2 linked regions of the Pelodiscus sinensis genome follow. The protein of the gene in region 2 purifies or fractionates together with the protein of the main gene of each other region. This does not show direct contact. Links are inferred from orthologs where the notes say so. Each region holds a gene or a part of one and is shown on either strand. Other genes may lie near its edges.

What was found. Proteins that work in one complex are often made in the same cells at the same time.
Region 1: the proteins of RBPJ (region 2) and NOTCH2 purify together in Homo sapiens (affinity purification with mass spectrometry; 3 studies listed by BioGRID and IntAct, counting the BioPlex papers as one, with this or other methods). This does not show direct contact. The link is inferred for Pelodiscus sinensis from reciprocal best matches to the Homo sapiens genes RBPJ and NOTCH2.

The regions. Positions count from the first base shown.
Region 1 is NW_027465903.1:258,512-266,370, forward strand, and holds the start of NOTCH2 (neurogenic locus notch homolog protein 2), read right to left. Parts: upstream 3,351-7,859; 5' UTR 3,254-3,350; coding exon 3,196-3,253; intron 1-3,195. UniProt on the Homo sapiens protein: Functions as a receptor for membrane-bound ligands Jagged-1 (JAG1), Jagged-2 (JAG2) and Delta-1 (DLL1) to regulate cell-fate determination.
Region 2 is NC_134715.1:101,459,986-101,467,712, reverse strand, and holds the start of RBPJ (recombining binding protein suppressor of hairless), read left to right. Parts: upstream 1-4,407; 5' UTR 4,408-4,704; coding exon of another isoform or gene 4,705-4,724; intron 4,725-7,727. UniProt on the Homo sapiens protein: Transcriptional regulator that plays a central role in Notch signaling, a signaling pathway involved in cell-cell communication that regulates a broad spectrum of cell-fate determinations.

The DNA.
Region 1 (7,859 bases), on a different chromosome or scaffold from region 2:
CTCCATTAACAATCTATGGTCAAAAAGCAGGGGCTTCCAGATTATTCATTCATTATGTGTATAAGACATTTACTGAAGTGAAATTACTAGTCTTATTACACCGGAGTTTCCTTCGACCAGTTCAACGTTCCCAGTATTGTACACCAAGCAACACTCTAAAATACTTTGGTTTCAACCTTACTGTGACAGAGACATGCCCAGGATGGTATATTACACCTGTGTCTAACCATCTTCTCAATAATTCATCGTAGGAGGTTGTACATGGTCTCTGCCAAAAACTAAGAACTAGATGATGGTTAAAGTTACTGCAAATTGCAGGGGAAATTTTGGAGAGATATAAAATGTACAGACTTCTGTTCGAAAACTGTATGCAGTGAGGCATGTCACCTGAGGAGAGGTGTGTGTCTCAGCTAATTCAATCAAGAATGAGTGCAGTCAACATCTTTCAACCTGATCTAACCCAGCCCTGTGCTTACAGGCTGGATCAAATGCCGGCTTGAGCATGTGGTTCACAAGCCAAGTAACTGTGAACACCACTGGTGTAGAAAATACTTAAGAGACCCAGAGATGAGCTGAAGTTAATGAAACACCCAGATTCTGAAGGAACAAAAGTCTGGTGCTGTCTCAGACAAGAAGAAAGATGTTATCCATTACCAAGGTGACACCTGCGTGAGTGTTTCAGGAACAGTCGCTACCACTTCTCTAGATTGGACAAATGCTGTAAGAACTGATCACTGGGTAAGAAGTATCTTACTAGATGGGTACAGAACTTCTTTAAAAAAGTAGAGGCACTAGATTTGCATGTAATGTTTTTCTTTTCTCTGTAACCTCATGTTTCCAGCCTTTTCACTTGTGTCTGTTTTAGATCTTTATCTTTGCTTTGCTAAAAAAACTCCTATCTGGGTTTACTATAGACAGGACTTGCCATGCACTAAAGAGAGTGTGGCACTGAGGTGAAGCTGGGGCACTGCTCCAGGGAGGCAGTAGAAGAGTGAACGTTGTGTGGGTACATGGAAGAGAAGGGACCCGGCACCTGAGTGTATCAAAGGGGGGGCAGCCTGTACAAGCAGAAGGTGAGGCCCATGGACCCTGCAGCAGAGCGCTTGTCCTCCCAGTGGCTGGCAAATTTGAGGGAATCTTCCCCTTTGGGCACAGACGAGGCTGTCTCATGCTGCGGGCAGGTGACAGAGATCTGCCCTGGATACCTCTCTCACCCCCAAATAGTGTCACAAGTGCAACATGCTAAACACGCAGAAGTCAGTGAAAACTCCAGAACTGGTGATCTGGGCCCTCAAGCGGTACTCTGCTCTGCTCCAAGAGGCACAGTAAAGTCAGCACAAGTACTTTAATTCCCTGTATTGTTACCTATAACACTTTACATTAGCAATGAATTACATTTCATATCGCAGGGTGCTTGTCTATGCACTCTGTGCTTCCCTAGCCAAAACAAGAGACCCATGTTTTTCCACATCGGTTTCTAGTCCGATATCCTGCCCGGCTCCCATGCACTGCCACAAGCAACTTGTAAACACAACAGGGAACCCAACAGAGCACCCCAACCCCAAGTTGCCATTATTGATTTGTAGAGTTTCATTAACACGTCTGAATTTGTACTGAGGCAGGCTGGCAGTCTCCCTCCATCTCCCTGTCTGGGGGGCTGGCAGAGGCAGTGGACACGCTCCTCTTCCCATGCGCATCCCCACACTTGTGGGGCCAGGCGTGGGAGGTTACGGGGGTGTCACCCCACCACACTCGTTGCAGGCCCTGAGGCAGGGAGGCGCAGAGGTCAGATTCCAAGGGACACAAAGAAGGGGAGCTGGGATGATGGGAGAAGAGTGAGCTCCCCAGAGACCCCCAAACCAACGAGACCCCCTGGGCAACGGGGCCAGAGCAGGCCCCTAAATAGTACTGCATGGCAGGGAGACCACACACCCTAGAGACCGCCACACCAACGGGACCCAAAGGAGACGGGGCAGGGCAAGGTCCCCTGTGCGGAGGGGCCCCAGGACAGGGGCAGGGACAGTCGCACCAAGGGGCCCCACCGAGGGGGCCCAGGAGCCAGGGCAGGGGCAGTCTCCCCGGGGGGGGCCCAGGACCGGGGCAGGGGCAATCTCCCCGGGAGGGGGGGGCAGGAGCGGGGCAGGGGCAGTCTCCCCAGGGGGGGCAGGGGCAGTCTCCCCGGGGGGGGCAGGGGCAGTCTCCCCGGGGGGGAGGCAGGAGCCGGGCAGGGGCAGTCTCCCGGGGGGGGGGCCAGGACCGGGGCAGGGGCAGTCTCTCCAGGGGGGGCAGAGGCAGTCTCCCTGGGAGGGGGGCAGGAGCCGGGCAGGGGCAGTCTCTCCGGGGGGGGCAGGAGCCGGAGAGGGGGTAGTCTCTTCGGGGGGGCAGTCTCCCCAGGGGGTGGCAGGAGCAGGGGGGGTAGTCTCTCCGGGGGGGCAGGAGCCGGAGGGGGGGCAGTCTCTCCGGGGGGGGCAGGAGCCGGAGGGGGGTAGTCACTCCGGGGGGGGGGCAGTCTCTCGGGGGGGGCAGGAGCCGGAGGGGGGGTCTCTCCGGGGGGGGGGCAGGAGCCGGAGGGAGGGGTCTCTCGGGGGGGGGGCAGGAGCCGGAGGGAGGGTAGTCTCTCGGGGGGGGTGCAGGAGCCGGAAGGGGGCAGTCTCTCGGGGGGGGCAGGAGCCGGAAGGGGGCAGTCTCTCGGGGGGGCAGGAGCCGGAAGGGGGCAGTCTCTCGGGGGGGCAGGAGCCGGGGGGGGCAGGAGCCGGAGGGGGGGGTCTCTCGGGGGGGGCAGGAGCCGGAGGGGGGGGTCTCTCGGGGGGGGCAGGAGCCGGAGGGGGGGTCTCTCGGGGGGGGGCAGGAGCCGGGGGGGGGGCAGTCTCCCGGGGGGGGCAGTCTCCCGGGGGGGGGTAGTATCTCGGGGGGGCAGTCTCCCGGGGGGGGGCAGGAGCCGGAGGGGGGGTCTCTCGGGGGGGGCAGGAGCCGGAGGGGGGGGTCTCTCGGGGGGGGGGCAGGAGCCGGGGGGTCTCTCGGGGGGGCAGGAGCCGGGGGGGGGTCTCTCGGGGGGGCAGGAGCCGGGGGGGGGGTCTCTCGGGGGGGGGCAGGAGCCGGAAGGGGGCAGTCTCTCGGGGGGGGCAGGAGCCGGAGGGGGCAGGAGCCGGGGGGGGGGTCTCTCGGGGGGGGGGGCAGTCTCCCCCCCGCACTCACCCGGCGCCCCGCGGACCAGCAGCAGCAGCAGCGCCCCGAGCGCCGGGCCCCCCCGCATCGCCCCGAGCGGAGGCAGCAGGCGGCGGCTCGGGCCGCGCGGAGCGATCGGGGGCCGCGGCCGGGAGCGGAGGGATCCGGGCTCGCGCCGCCCGCCCCGCCCCGCCCCGCCCCGCCCCCGCTTCCTGCGCGCCGCCCGCAGCGGCCGGTAGGGGGCGCCCGCCGCGAGCCCGGCACCGGGGGGGGCCGCTGCACCCCCCCCGGGAACCCGACAGCCCCCCCCCCGTCCCCTCGCCGGGAACCCAGCTCCAGCCCCAGCCCCCCCCCCCGGGAACCCAGACAGCCCCCCCGCCACACAGCGCCCCCCCCCGCCAGGGAACCCAGACACAGCCCCCCCCCGCCACACAGCGCCCCCCCCGCCGGGGAACCCAGACACAGCCCCCCCCCGCCACACAGCGCCCCCCCCCCCCCGCCGGGGAACCCAGACACAGCCCCCCCCCGCCACACAGCGCCCCCCCCCCCCGCCGGGGAACCCAGACACAGCCCCCCCGCCACACAGCGCCCCCCCCGCCGGGGAACCCAGACACAGCCCCCCCCCGCCACACAGCGCCCCCCCCCCGCCAGGGAACCCAGACACAGCCCCCCCCCGCCACACAGCGCCCCCCCCCCGCCAGGGAACCCAGACAGACCCCCCAACCACAGCCCCCCCGCCAGGGAGCCCAGATACTGCCCTGCTAGCCAGGGAATCCCTGGGGGGGGCTGATACAGCCCCCCCGTCACAGGGTCCTAGGGGGGAGCCAGATATAGCTCCCCAGTCCAGCCAGGGAGCCCGGGGGCGGGGGGCAGGCACAGCCTCTCTTCCCTTCCAGTCTGGGAAGCTTGGGGAGCAGGGGAAGCCAGACACTCCATGGTAGGCAGACCAGTGAGGGGGTGAAGTGGGTCAGAGCGTAAGGGAGTTAGACAGTCCTCTACCCCAGGGAGCTGGGGGAACCAAAGGGCCCTTCCCCAGGGTTCGGGAGTCCTACAGGGGGAACTCCACCAGGGCAGGGTGCAGCGCGATGCCTGGGCTCGGAGGCACCCCACCATCTCCAATGGCAAGGAGCCCTGCTCTCTAGGTCTCAGCATCCCAGCTCCCTCACTACAGGTGAGCAGCCAGCATGCTCCAGGCCCTGCCTCCGCCAGGCCCCGCTCCCCATAGACCTGTATCTGCAGCTTACCCAGCCCACCTCAGCTTTGCACCACACACACTTAGACATGTTTACAGTGAGAGTAAGAGCAAGTTTATTTAACCATGAAGACAGATTCAAGTGACAGCCAGTAGCGGTACTGGAAACACGTGGCTCCATTTATAACATGTTCTAGAGCCCCAGACTTAACTGCATTCCTGCAATGCTCACCTGACATCCTTTCACCCCTGTCCCTTTTCCACCAGGCTAGTCACACTGACTGCTTTCCTCCTCTGCATGCCTAGCTGGGATTAATTCCCAGCACTCCATTGTCTTCACTCCCAGGCAGGATCCCCTCCTGCTGTTTTGTTTCTTCTGGTAAGTTTCCACTGGAAGATTGCACAATCCCTCGATTAGCATTCTGGTTCTTAATCATGCAAACAGGCCTACACTGAGAAACAAACAATGCCCAGTAGCACCTGACCAGGCAGAGAGAGGAATGTTTGCTTTAAAGGGACCTGGCAGAGATGTCACCTGCTGGTTAAACTTCCCTGAGAACATCATTTTCTGTTTAGACACAGCTCCTAAAATACTATCCATCCATCCATTTTGCAGCGATTATGCTGTTGAATGGGCTATTGGCTCTTGGTAGAGACCTCACATACCACCTGTTGTGGAAGTACATTGTCAAGGCTGTTCCCCACTCTGGCACATCCGCGTATCTGACTGTGGAGGGGCACATTCACGCTTTTGTCCAGCTGCAATGTCACCAAAGATCCTCAGCTCCAGCATCTACTGGGCAACTGCTTTTGGCTCCAGCTCTTGTGGCTCAAACCTTCAGTCAACTCACAAAGTTCAAACTATGGATGTTAAGTAACAGTTAATTGACTAGTCAATGGAATTTGCATGGACTACTCAACTAGTTCATACCCACTTCCACATTCCTCCTTTGAAATGTACAAGAGCCCCTGCTGAGGCTTTTGTACATTTCAAAGGAGGAATGCAGAACTCCCTGTGCAGCCCAGGGCCCGCGGGAAGTCCCATTGACTCTGGGCTGCATGCAGGGACCAGCTTTGAAAAGTATGAGTCCCAGCAGGGGCTCTTGTGCATTTCAAAGTGGCAGCGCAGCATGGAGCCCGGGGTTAGCAAGGAACTGCAGATTTGAAATGCCACGTGGAGCTAGGGGCTCCCCAGCTGACGCTGGGTTCCACTGAAATACTACATAGAGCCCAGGATCAGCTAGGGAGTCCCCAGCTAACCCCAGGCTCCACATGCAACAGTGCCACACAGCTGATCCCAGGCTCAGCTGTGCGGCACTGCCGCTTTGAAGAGCCCCCTCTTTCCCCCCCATTTGCTGCCTCTGAGAGAGGCAGCAAGGAGGGGGAATCAACGGCTGCATCTAGACTGGCAAGTTTTTCCACAAAAGTGGCTGCTTTTGCACAAAAACTTGCCAGCTGTCTACACTGGCCACTTGATTTTGTGCAAAAGCACTGATGTTCTACTGTCCGAAATCAGTGCTTCTTGCGCAAATACTTTGACGTTCCCGTTCGGGCAAAAGCCCTTTTCCGGAAATGTTTTTGCGCAAGAGGGCCAGTTTAGACAGCTAAAAACTGTTTTGCGCAAAAAAGCCCCGATGGCAAAAATGGCGATCGGGGCTTTCTTGCGGAAAACCACGTCTAGATTGGCACGGACGCTTTTCCGCAAAAAGTGCTTTTGTGGAAAAGCATCCGTGGTAATCTAGACGCTCTTTTCTGCAAATGCTTTTAATGGAAAAACTTTTCCGTTAAAAGCATTTGTGGAAAATCATGCCAGTCTAGACGTAGCCAACTAGTCGACTAGTCCTTAACATCCTTAGTTCAAACCCTTCCCGGGGTATCTCGAACAAATCTAAATCTGAGTAATGCTGCTGTCAGGCTACTGAAGTCGTCTTCTACCTGCAAATGCCCAAATATCTGGACTTCCTTTGCAGGACCCTACACTGGCCCAGCAGTGTGCTGCCCCCATTATATACTGTTACCCAACCCTGAGTCTGGGTCTGCACCAGATACATCTGCATTGCATAACACACTCATGGCTGACTCACCTCAGCTGATTCAGGCTCAGAAGGCTTGGGTCAAGAGTGCAGCTGTCCAGACTCTGGGACTTCCTCACTCCAGGCTTCCAGAGCCCAAGCTGCTCCCTGACCTTTCATCATCTTCATGACGTTCTTTCCAGAATTCTCCATCTTGGATATGTATTTGCAGGGCCTCCTTTGCAATGTTCTCATGAAGCTTTCAGACCTTTTACAGGTCACATTTGGGGCAGCCAATCAGGGTCTATGGTCAGGACAGTTTCTTTCCTCTCCTCACACAAAGTCTTTATTTCCCACAAACTTGCCCAATCCACTTCTGCATTTTTCTAGGCACTGCAGGAAATCTCTCTGCTCTTGCAGTAGAGGTAACAAAAGAGAACGTGTCTGCTCCTGTTGAGATGCTAGCCACAGTCTGGCTGCCTACCCCTCACCATTAAGGCAGATGGGCTCTTCCCCTGCTTCCTCAGAGAGGAGTGTGCACAATCCCACTTCTGGAACCATTATGTAGCAGGGTACACACACAACTCTAGAGTACCCACTTGTGCCTAGGTGTAGTGCCACCAGGCTCTTCTGCTGGCCACTCTTCGCTGGCTTAGTCCTCCAGGCAAGTCACCTTTGTCCTCCCCTCTGGAGTATTATCAGTCTCCCCTGCCTCAGTCTCAGGCAGTCTCTCTCCTCTGTGCTGAGTGTGCCCCTGGAAAGGGAATCTGAGCCCCCCTCTACACTGGGTTCCAATCCAGGGATCCTCAGACTAGTGGCTCGGGTCTAGCTCCCAGACATCACTATTCTTTCCCTCCATAGCTTCCTACCCTGCTTTCCTCAGGCTCCTGCTCTCTCTCATACCAGGGTGTGCAGCTGCAGGCCACCTCCCTGCCTCTGCAGCCAGCATCTTGGTTTTACACAAGCCCCAGTTGTTCCTGCCCAGCTGTGCTTCAGTCTCAGTCTGATTGATTGACCCTGAGCTTGTGAGCATGTGCGACTTTAAAGGCAATTGGCCTCTCCTGCCACCTTTCCCCATGCATTCTGGTGAGTGTGCATGTGTCAGCGCCCCATCCCAGCTGGCAATTTGCATGATCACCTTCTTGGGTATTTCCCAGGAAGTCCTCGACACATATTTCTCCCTAAAGTCCATTCTTGCTTGGCACAATTTCAGTAGAGTTCTTGGAATGCCCAGGCCTCACAGCCCCCTCTAGGAAGGTTACTTAGAATCCCAATCCCGCTAGTACGTGAACTGGGCATTTAAAATAACGCACTCCACAGAAACCTACACTCCACTCAACATGGCCATCCAAGGCATGAAATTGCCATGTCTCTCCCAGTTGTACGCTCATCAGTATGGCTTTTTTCTATTTCTTGGCAACACATGCTTTGGGATACAATTCAGAAGAAATGATCACTGCCCATCCATTTACCATGCCACACCTCTCATC
Region 2 (7,727 bases):
CTCCAGCCTGATTCTGGCCTGCATATTTATACCTGCCCCTGGAAATTTCCACTACATGCATCTGATGAAGTGGGTCTTTGCCCACAAAAGCTTATGCTCCAACACTTCAGTTAGTCAAACATAATGTAAGCGGGGGAATGGTCCCGCTCTTGTGGGGAACTTTCCTGGCTTCTATACACCCCGGTGAAATGAACCAGCGAAAGGATCTGAGTCCCCGCTCCCACTTCCTTTACCCCACGGCTCCCTGATCCTGAGGGCTCCCCCTCCACTCTCCTGAGTAGCAGAGCCCTTGAAACCCCAACAAGGCTGGGCCCAGGTTTCCTGGGGCTTAACCCCTGACCTTGTAGTCACTAGGGGCAGGAGTTAGGGTGTCCCCACTCCGAAGTGCTCTCTTTACACTGCAGGCCTTCTTGGCCCAGTGATCACTTCATAAGGTTCAAAGCAAATACAATTTATTAAACATCAACTGATTAAAGAGAATAGAATAAGAAACAATGAGAATGGTTAAATGAGAACACACAGCCCTGCTCTGTAGCACAGGGACATCAAAACAGCAGTCTGCAGAGTTTAAGGACAGTCCACAGTCTCTTCCTTAGAAGCCCTGGAAGTGCTGCAAGGGGCTGCAGGCTGGACACGCTTGCACTGGCAGTGACCACACAGCCTCAGTCTCTAAGTGGCCAGACCCCTCTCCCAGTCCAGAGCCTTTCTCCACACTTTGCAGGTCCCAGTAGCTCACCACATCCAGCTGCAGGCTGTGCTGCTTGGCCAGTTCCAGCTCCTTGTGTTGCCTCTCTGTTCCTTTTGGCTTTCTGAGCACTGCCAGTCTGCTGCTCAACACAGGGTCTGCACTGCTTGGCCTGTCTGTGTCTGGTTCTGTCGCTGCAGGACTTCTTCTTGTACTCCTCTTTCAGCTCTCTGTCTTTGCAGGACCTCTTCTGCACACAGCTTGTTTGTTCAGAGACAGAGCCAGAACAATCCCCACTTACAACCTGTCAGTCAGGCTGAGCTGGAGTGTTGACTGCTTTCCATTGTCTCTGGGGTCTGTCAGTCTCATGAACCCTTCCCCTTCTGAAGCTGGTAAACCAAAAAACTCCCACAGAGTTTTAGTAAGGGGTAACAGTCCCCTTACAATAAGGTGCCACAGGACTCCTCGTCGCTCAAGTTGAAGATGCAGACCAAAAATTACATTACAAAGATGATGGAAAGTTTAGCAGGTCTGGTTGACATACTTACAAAAGACTGAAGTAGTGATAAACTCATTCTCATATTGGATATTTGTATTAATATTGGGGATTTGAGTGTGAAGCTAGATGGCTTATTGATGCTACAGAGGCAGAAAGCTGACGGGGTGAAAGAAGAGCTAGTTATGAACTTCCACACCAGTAGTCTGGAAAGTTAAATTGCACATTTAGGCCATGTCTACACTATGAGATAAGAGCAAATTTACTAAGGTCAGTTTTTTGTAGCACCTGATTTTGTCAAGGTCCATGTTCCTACTGTTCACATGAATTTGACACAATTCAAAGTAGCATGTCCACATGGGGGCTACTGTCAGTTTTGAGAGTTATGTATTCTGGTTAGCTATCCCACAGTTACTTCGCCCCTTGCATTCTGGGTTATGTTCCCAGTGTAAACTGGAACCAAAACTATGCAGTGAGTGCTTCTGGGGATATGTCGTCAGCATCTCATAGTGCACTCATCTCCTCCCCTTCACCCCACCACTTGAAAGCAGTGGTAAACAATCACTTCACACACTTTTTTCCCCTTGTTATCCACATATAGCACATAGCATGGACTCCATCATGGATTCTGTTGAGCATCAAAGCATTACGATAATCATATTACTCAGAGTGAGCCTTATCTTAGAGCATGTCCAGGGTCCGCTGGAGCGAGGAAGAATCTCGTCAGGCCATGAACATATTCTTTTGCAAAGCACTTGGGTTGAGCAACTGGAAATGCTGCCAACTTTCAATTCTCTGGACACATAGGGACATTGGTTCTGGTGCTATCGGAGAAGCACATAATGGTGGGATGGCATAGTTATGGGATGACTGGCAAGAGCTGCAAAACTTTTATATATGTAAGGTCACTCTCATGAAAGTTTGTATATGGCTTTCCCCCACCCTGAAGCACAAGAATACCAGAATGAGATCTGCTCTGACAGTGAAGTGAATGGCAATTGCCCTATGAAAGCTTGCAATGCCATACAGCTACCAGTCAGCTAGAAATCAATGTGGGGTGGGTAAGTGTGCTACTCAGGTGTGCTGCCTGCTCTGAAGTCTGCTAGCCAAACTGGAAATGAAATTCAAAATTTTCCAGTTCTTTTCCTGGTCACTTGGGGTATGTTTACACTAGCTCATTAATTCGAGCTAGATAGGCAAATCAGGCAACTGGAGTTGCAAATGAAGCCCAGGATTTAAATATCCCAGGCTTTATTTGCATGTTCCTGTCCGGACGCCATTTTTAAATCCCCCTTAGTTCGAACGAACTGCCTGCGGCTACACGCAACAGTTTAAAGTTAATACAAACTAAATTCTTAGTTTGGATTAACTGTTACTCCTCATGGAATGGAATGAGGTGTAACAGTTAATCCGAACTAAGGATTTATTTAAATCCTGGGCTTCATTTGCAACTCCGGTTGCCTGATTTGGCTACCTAGCTCGAATTAACGAGATAGTGTAGACATACCCTTGGAGAGCAGTAGAGTTGAAAGTCCTGGCCAGAGTGGACACTGTGGGGTACTATAGGATGCATGCTAGAAGCCAAAAACTATGGGGCTATGTCTACATTGGCGGGTTCTTGCACAAGAACACATCCACACTGCCATGTGCTTTTGCGCCAGAGCATCCATGGCAGTGTGGACGCTGTCTTGCGCAAAAAAGCTCTGATGGCCATTTTAGCCATAGGGCTTTCTTGTGCAAGAAGCCCCTGCCGTGTATCCACACTGCCCTGTTGCACAAGAGGGCTTACACTTGTTAGAAAAGAGCGTAACTCTTCTGACACCATACTGTAAATCTTCTTGCACAAGAGCAGGTGGGCAGTGTGGATGCTCTGAGGGTTCTTGCACAAGAACCCGCCAGTGTAGACATAGCCTGACAGGGGTGGCCAACCTGTAGCTCCAGAGCCACATGTGTCTCTTCAGAAGATAATATGGGACTCCTTTCATAGGTACCAAATCCAGTGCTGGAGCTGCAAGTGCCAACTTTCCACTGGTCCAGAGGCTGTTCAATCCCCAACTCTGCCCTAGGTGCTGTCCCCCTCTGCCCTTTTCTCCTAGGATCCTGCCACTTCCCACATTCTCCACTGAACCTGTCACACCCATGCTTCTCCCCTCCAGTGTCTCCCATTCAGAAAGAGCTGATCACAGTGGGCAGGAACAGGCTCTGATCAGTGGGAGTGGGGGGATGTGCTGACAGTGGTGGTGAGGACATGATCAGGGCTGGTGACATATAACTGCTCTTTGGCAATGTGTATTAGAAAATTCTGGCTCCTTCTCAAGTTTAGATTAGTCATGCCTGAACTACGACTTTCTCAGCATTGTGTCTGAACTACCATAAAGTTGACCATGCAAGGTCAAATTTAGTGTCATTCTAAGCAGGAGTTCCAAAATTGACCTTAACTGCACTTAAAGTCAACAGAATTGGGATGGGCATAGTGGTTTCACTGTTTAGCAAATCAACCTAAGACAGTCAAATTGACATAAGCTCCCAGCTTACACCCGGCCTTAGTTTTGCAAATGACCTTTCTGATTGCTAAATGCCCAGCTCAGGGCCTCAAATCAGAATTTTCCCTTTTCTGTTAAATCACTAGTGCCAAGGAATTGTCAGGAGTGGACAATGTAATACCCTGGTACTGACATTGCTTCTCTTGCCAGCTCTCTACCTTTTTCAGTGCAGCCAAAATGCAGTTGCGAAGGGGCCCCCAACCCTGGGATTTCTCTACCTGTGTCTGTAAACAAGCGGGGAGACAGCCCCCCCCCTCCCCGGGTGGGCTCGCAGAGGTGGGGGTGAGGAAGGACGCACAACCCCTGCCAGGCAGGGCGCTTGAGGGCGTCCCTACAGCAGGGTACGGAGCCGGCGGGCAGGGGAGACGAGGGCTGCGAAGCGCGGGACAGCAGCGGCTAACCGGCCACCAGCGTGCGACCCCCAAGGCGGGGAGGCGGCCCGGGCCGCTCCGCGGAGAGGGCAGCGCTGGAAGGCAGCGATCGCTCGCTCGCTGGCTGGCGCGGGCCGGGGCCGCTCAGCACTCCGGGGCGCGCTGCGTGTCGGCCACGGGCAGAGGAGCGCCTGGGGGACGGATCCTGGCTGCCCCACCCGAATGGTCCCTCCCACCCCTCTCCCGCGCGTGGTTTGTTCCTCCTCGGCTCAAGGAGACTCCGAAACAAACACTCCCAGCGCAGCGCGGCCGCGAAGGAGTCCCCCACCCTTTGCCTTCCCTTCGCTCTCGCGAGACTAGTCCAGCTTCTCCCTTAGCGCCCAGCAGGCCGCTGCTAGAGTTCTCGCGAGTTTTGGGCAGGTTCCCACGCCTGTTGCCGCTGTTGTGTCTGAAGGGAGAACCCGGGAATGAGGGGGTGGCGCGCTTCCCCCACTCTCTCCGCTCCGCGACCGCGTGTGTGTCTCACGGGCCCGTGCACGCGCGCACTCGGCCTGGGCTGGAGGAGGCAGCTCTCGCGAGAGTAGGAGTTTTGGCGAGAGTTTGTGGAAGATGGCGCCTGTTGTGACAGGGTAAGTGCGGGGGTTTCGCAGCGCCGGGCCGGGAGCGATTCCGTTCCGCGCTCACCGGCGGCCACGCTGGGCTTGCTGCTTCCCAGTTCTCCTTCCGGGGATGCGGGAGCAACTAGCCGGGCGGCCCGGCGGAGGCCCCGAGACTCGGACCCAGGGGGGTTGGGACCCCCAGGTGGCTGCATCAGGGAAGGCCCCCGGGCCATAGGCCGGGATCCTGAGGCGCATAGTGTGGGGTGGGGTGGGCCGCCCTTCCCAAATCCTGCGTGGGACGTGGGGGAGCCTTCGTGCCGGACACCCCCCTTTCCGAGGTGAATGCCTTTCGTGGGGTCGGAGCACCCTTAGCCACCGGCCCGGGGGCACTAGACAAAGGCTCTTGTCTCGCTGAGGGGAAGCTGAGTGCTGCTTCCCCTCCTTCGTAGTCGAGGGGGGCAGAGCACCTCCGTCGTCAGTCACCGGGCTGCGCTGAACTCACCAGGCGCTAGGTCCCATCAGTAGGACAAGCCTTTCCCCAAGCAAATCTCCTGCTCCCTTTCAGGAGTGGGTGGAAGTTCCCGTTTCCCTCTGCCTGTTCACCGTTCTTGGGGTTACAAGTGACTATCGGTGCCAGCAGAAGAGGAGAAGCCTTTCCCACTCCAGCTGCTCCTCATTGAGTCACAATAAAGACTAGCTGCCATCCTTATCAGCGCCACTGGGCCATACGGAATAATGACCTTCCACCTGTAATCTGTGTGATGTTAATCAGTGGCATATGACTAATCAGCTTTTGTTAGGTAATAATGGTAGACTCACCATAGTGGTACAGTGCATCAGCAGTCGTTTTACACATCTCTGCTACATCTTGAGTTACACTGCACATAGCAGGCATCATTCTCCACTCTTGGGTCACACTGTATAGTTTCATCCACTCCTCTGAATACATAGTGACTCTTGAGGAATGGGGCTACATGTACAATAGCAGGCCTTGTCTGCTCGCACCCTGATAGTACAAAACAAATTCCTGATGGGTCTTAATATTGTTGAACATCTTGACATGGTGGACTTAATTTGATATTTTTACAGTGATTGTCAAAGACACGCAGAATACTCTTTTACTCTTTTTCCTTGTTGAGATTACTCTGTCTCCAAACATGGCTATTTGGTTAGAGAGACTAGCATCCTGCCTTTGCTTTTTTTTTGGGGGGGGGGGGGGGGGGGGGAATATTGATAGTTGTTTTTGTTTTCTTGAGAAAAGTGGCATTATAGTATTTTTCTTGTTTCATTTTGGCCTCAGTGGTTGTTCCATTTTTGTTTCTTGGTTGTTGAGAACAAGATCTAAACTGCTGCCTTGGAGGTTGCCTGGTTTCTTTCATGTTCAAATGGAGCTTGCTTCTGCTGTGTTTTTTTCCCCCCCTAATACACATTCTTTAAGGCAGCAGGTGTTTGTTATGGTTTCTGTCTGGAACTATTTAGAATTGTAAGGATGAGGGAACAAGACGAAAAGTGCTTTAAAATGTTGCTTTAAATACTGCTGGGGTGGTTATGTATTAATTTTATTTCAGTTTATTTTCTTTTCATTTAATTTTCTGATCATTTGACAATTATATCCTTTGCTCGTTGATTATCAAAGTGCTGTCTAATGTTCTCAGGTTTGTGTCATCCTGTGTCTTAGGATATATATGCTACATTTTCACTAATTCATAAGCCAAATCCATAATGAAGTTTCTTATGAATTACAAAATCATGCTAACAGTAGAAGAAAGGCTTGTGCTTTAACACGAAAGGAGAAAAGTGTGCTGGAGGATTCTAAAGCCAGCTCCTCATGGGCATCGACTCCCCCCTCCCCCCCCCCGCCTCTTGCTTGTCAGTTAATTGTTTACTTGACTGTATGCTCACATCCCTACTCAAAACATGCATAATTTTAGTAATTCCTATTAAAGACTGGAATTCCTTGTCATTCCCTGTGACCCTGCATCAGAGTACTTACTGACGGTCAGAGTTGATAAATAAGACCCTGACTTATTTATTATTATGGATGATTGCTTCAAACATTTTGTATCACATAGGTAAGCTATAAAAGACATGTTAAGATTTATTATCAGGTGTGGCATTATTAAATTGACCTGCTGTCTGGTTGGTAGAACCTTGTTAAATCAGATGGCTACATTTTGACAGGTATAGTTTTAGTTTGCCACATAGATATTTAATGTTATAAAGGAGAATGAGCCAACTGGGATTTTGTCAGCTTTATCAGGTTCATGGATTAGTAATATTATATCTTAGTTTTGGATTAACAATGTTATATCCACAGTGAAAACAGTATGTTAAAATCTGATGACATTTAATAAGTGAAAATTTTTCATAAAGTACTGTAATAATTAAGAAACTTCCAATGATTCTAGTGTAAATCAGTCTCTCTCTCAAGTTTTAGAGAATAGCGGAGAAAACAGTTTGAAATTCAAAGTCTTTCTAGAATTAATAAATTCAAGAATATAGTTAATTACATTTTGCACTCATTTTCAGTGGTGGTATGCAATTTTTATTCACATTGAGATTGCTAGACAAAGTGTGTAAGTGAATGTTTGCGAATCAAACACAAGTTGAATGAATGCCTTTTTATAGAACCAGTCTTTCTGTGAAAACTCTGACTGCTAAAACTTAAATTACAGTAATACATCTATTCACTTGTGCCAGTAACCTGTTCATCAAATAGTGAGGTTAGCATTTCACCACAGAAGCTGTTTTTCTGGTATAGCCAAAACACACCTGGTTTCTTATCTACATGAAGGTATATACTATACCCATTTTATTCAGAAGGATATTTTATGCGAAAGGAAGCATACATATATTATTATGATTTAACATAAATTACTCACTTCAGTAGCCAATATAGAGATAATGAAAAATGTTTTAGTAATGTGTCAGATAAGTAACTGAAAACATCTTCTTCCCAAAAATATTTTACTAATGGAAATGGATAATTTATAGACAAACTATTGTAAGCTCTTTTCCATGTGAGTGATAGAA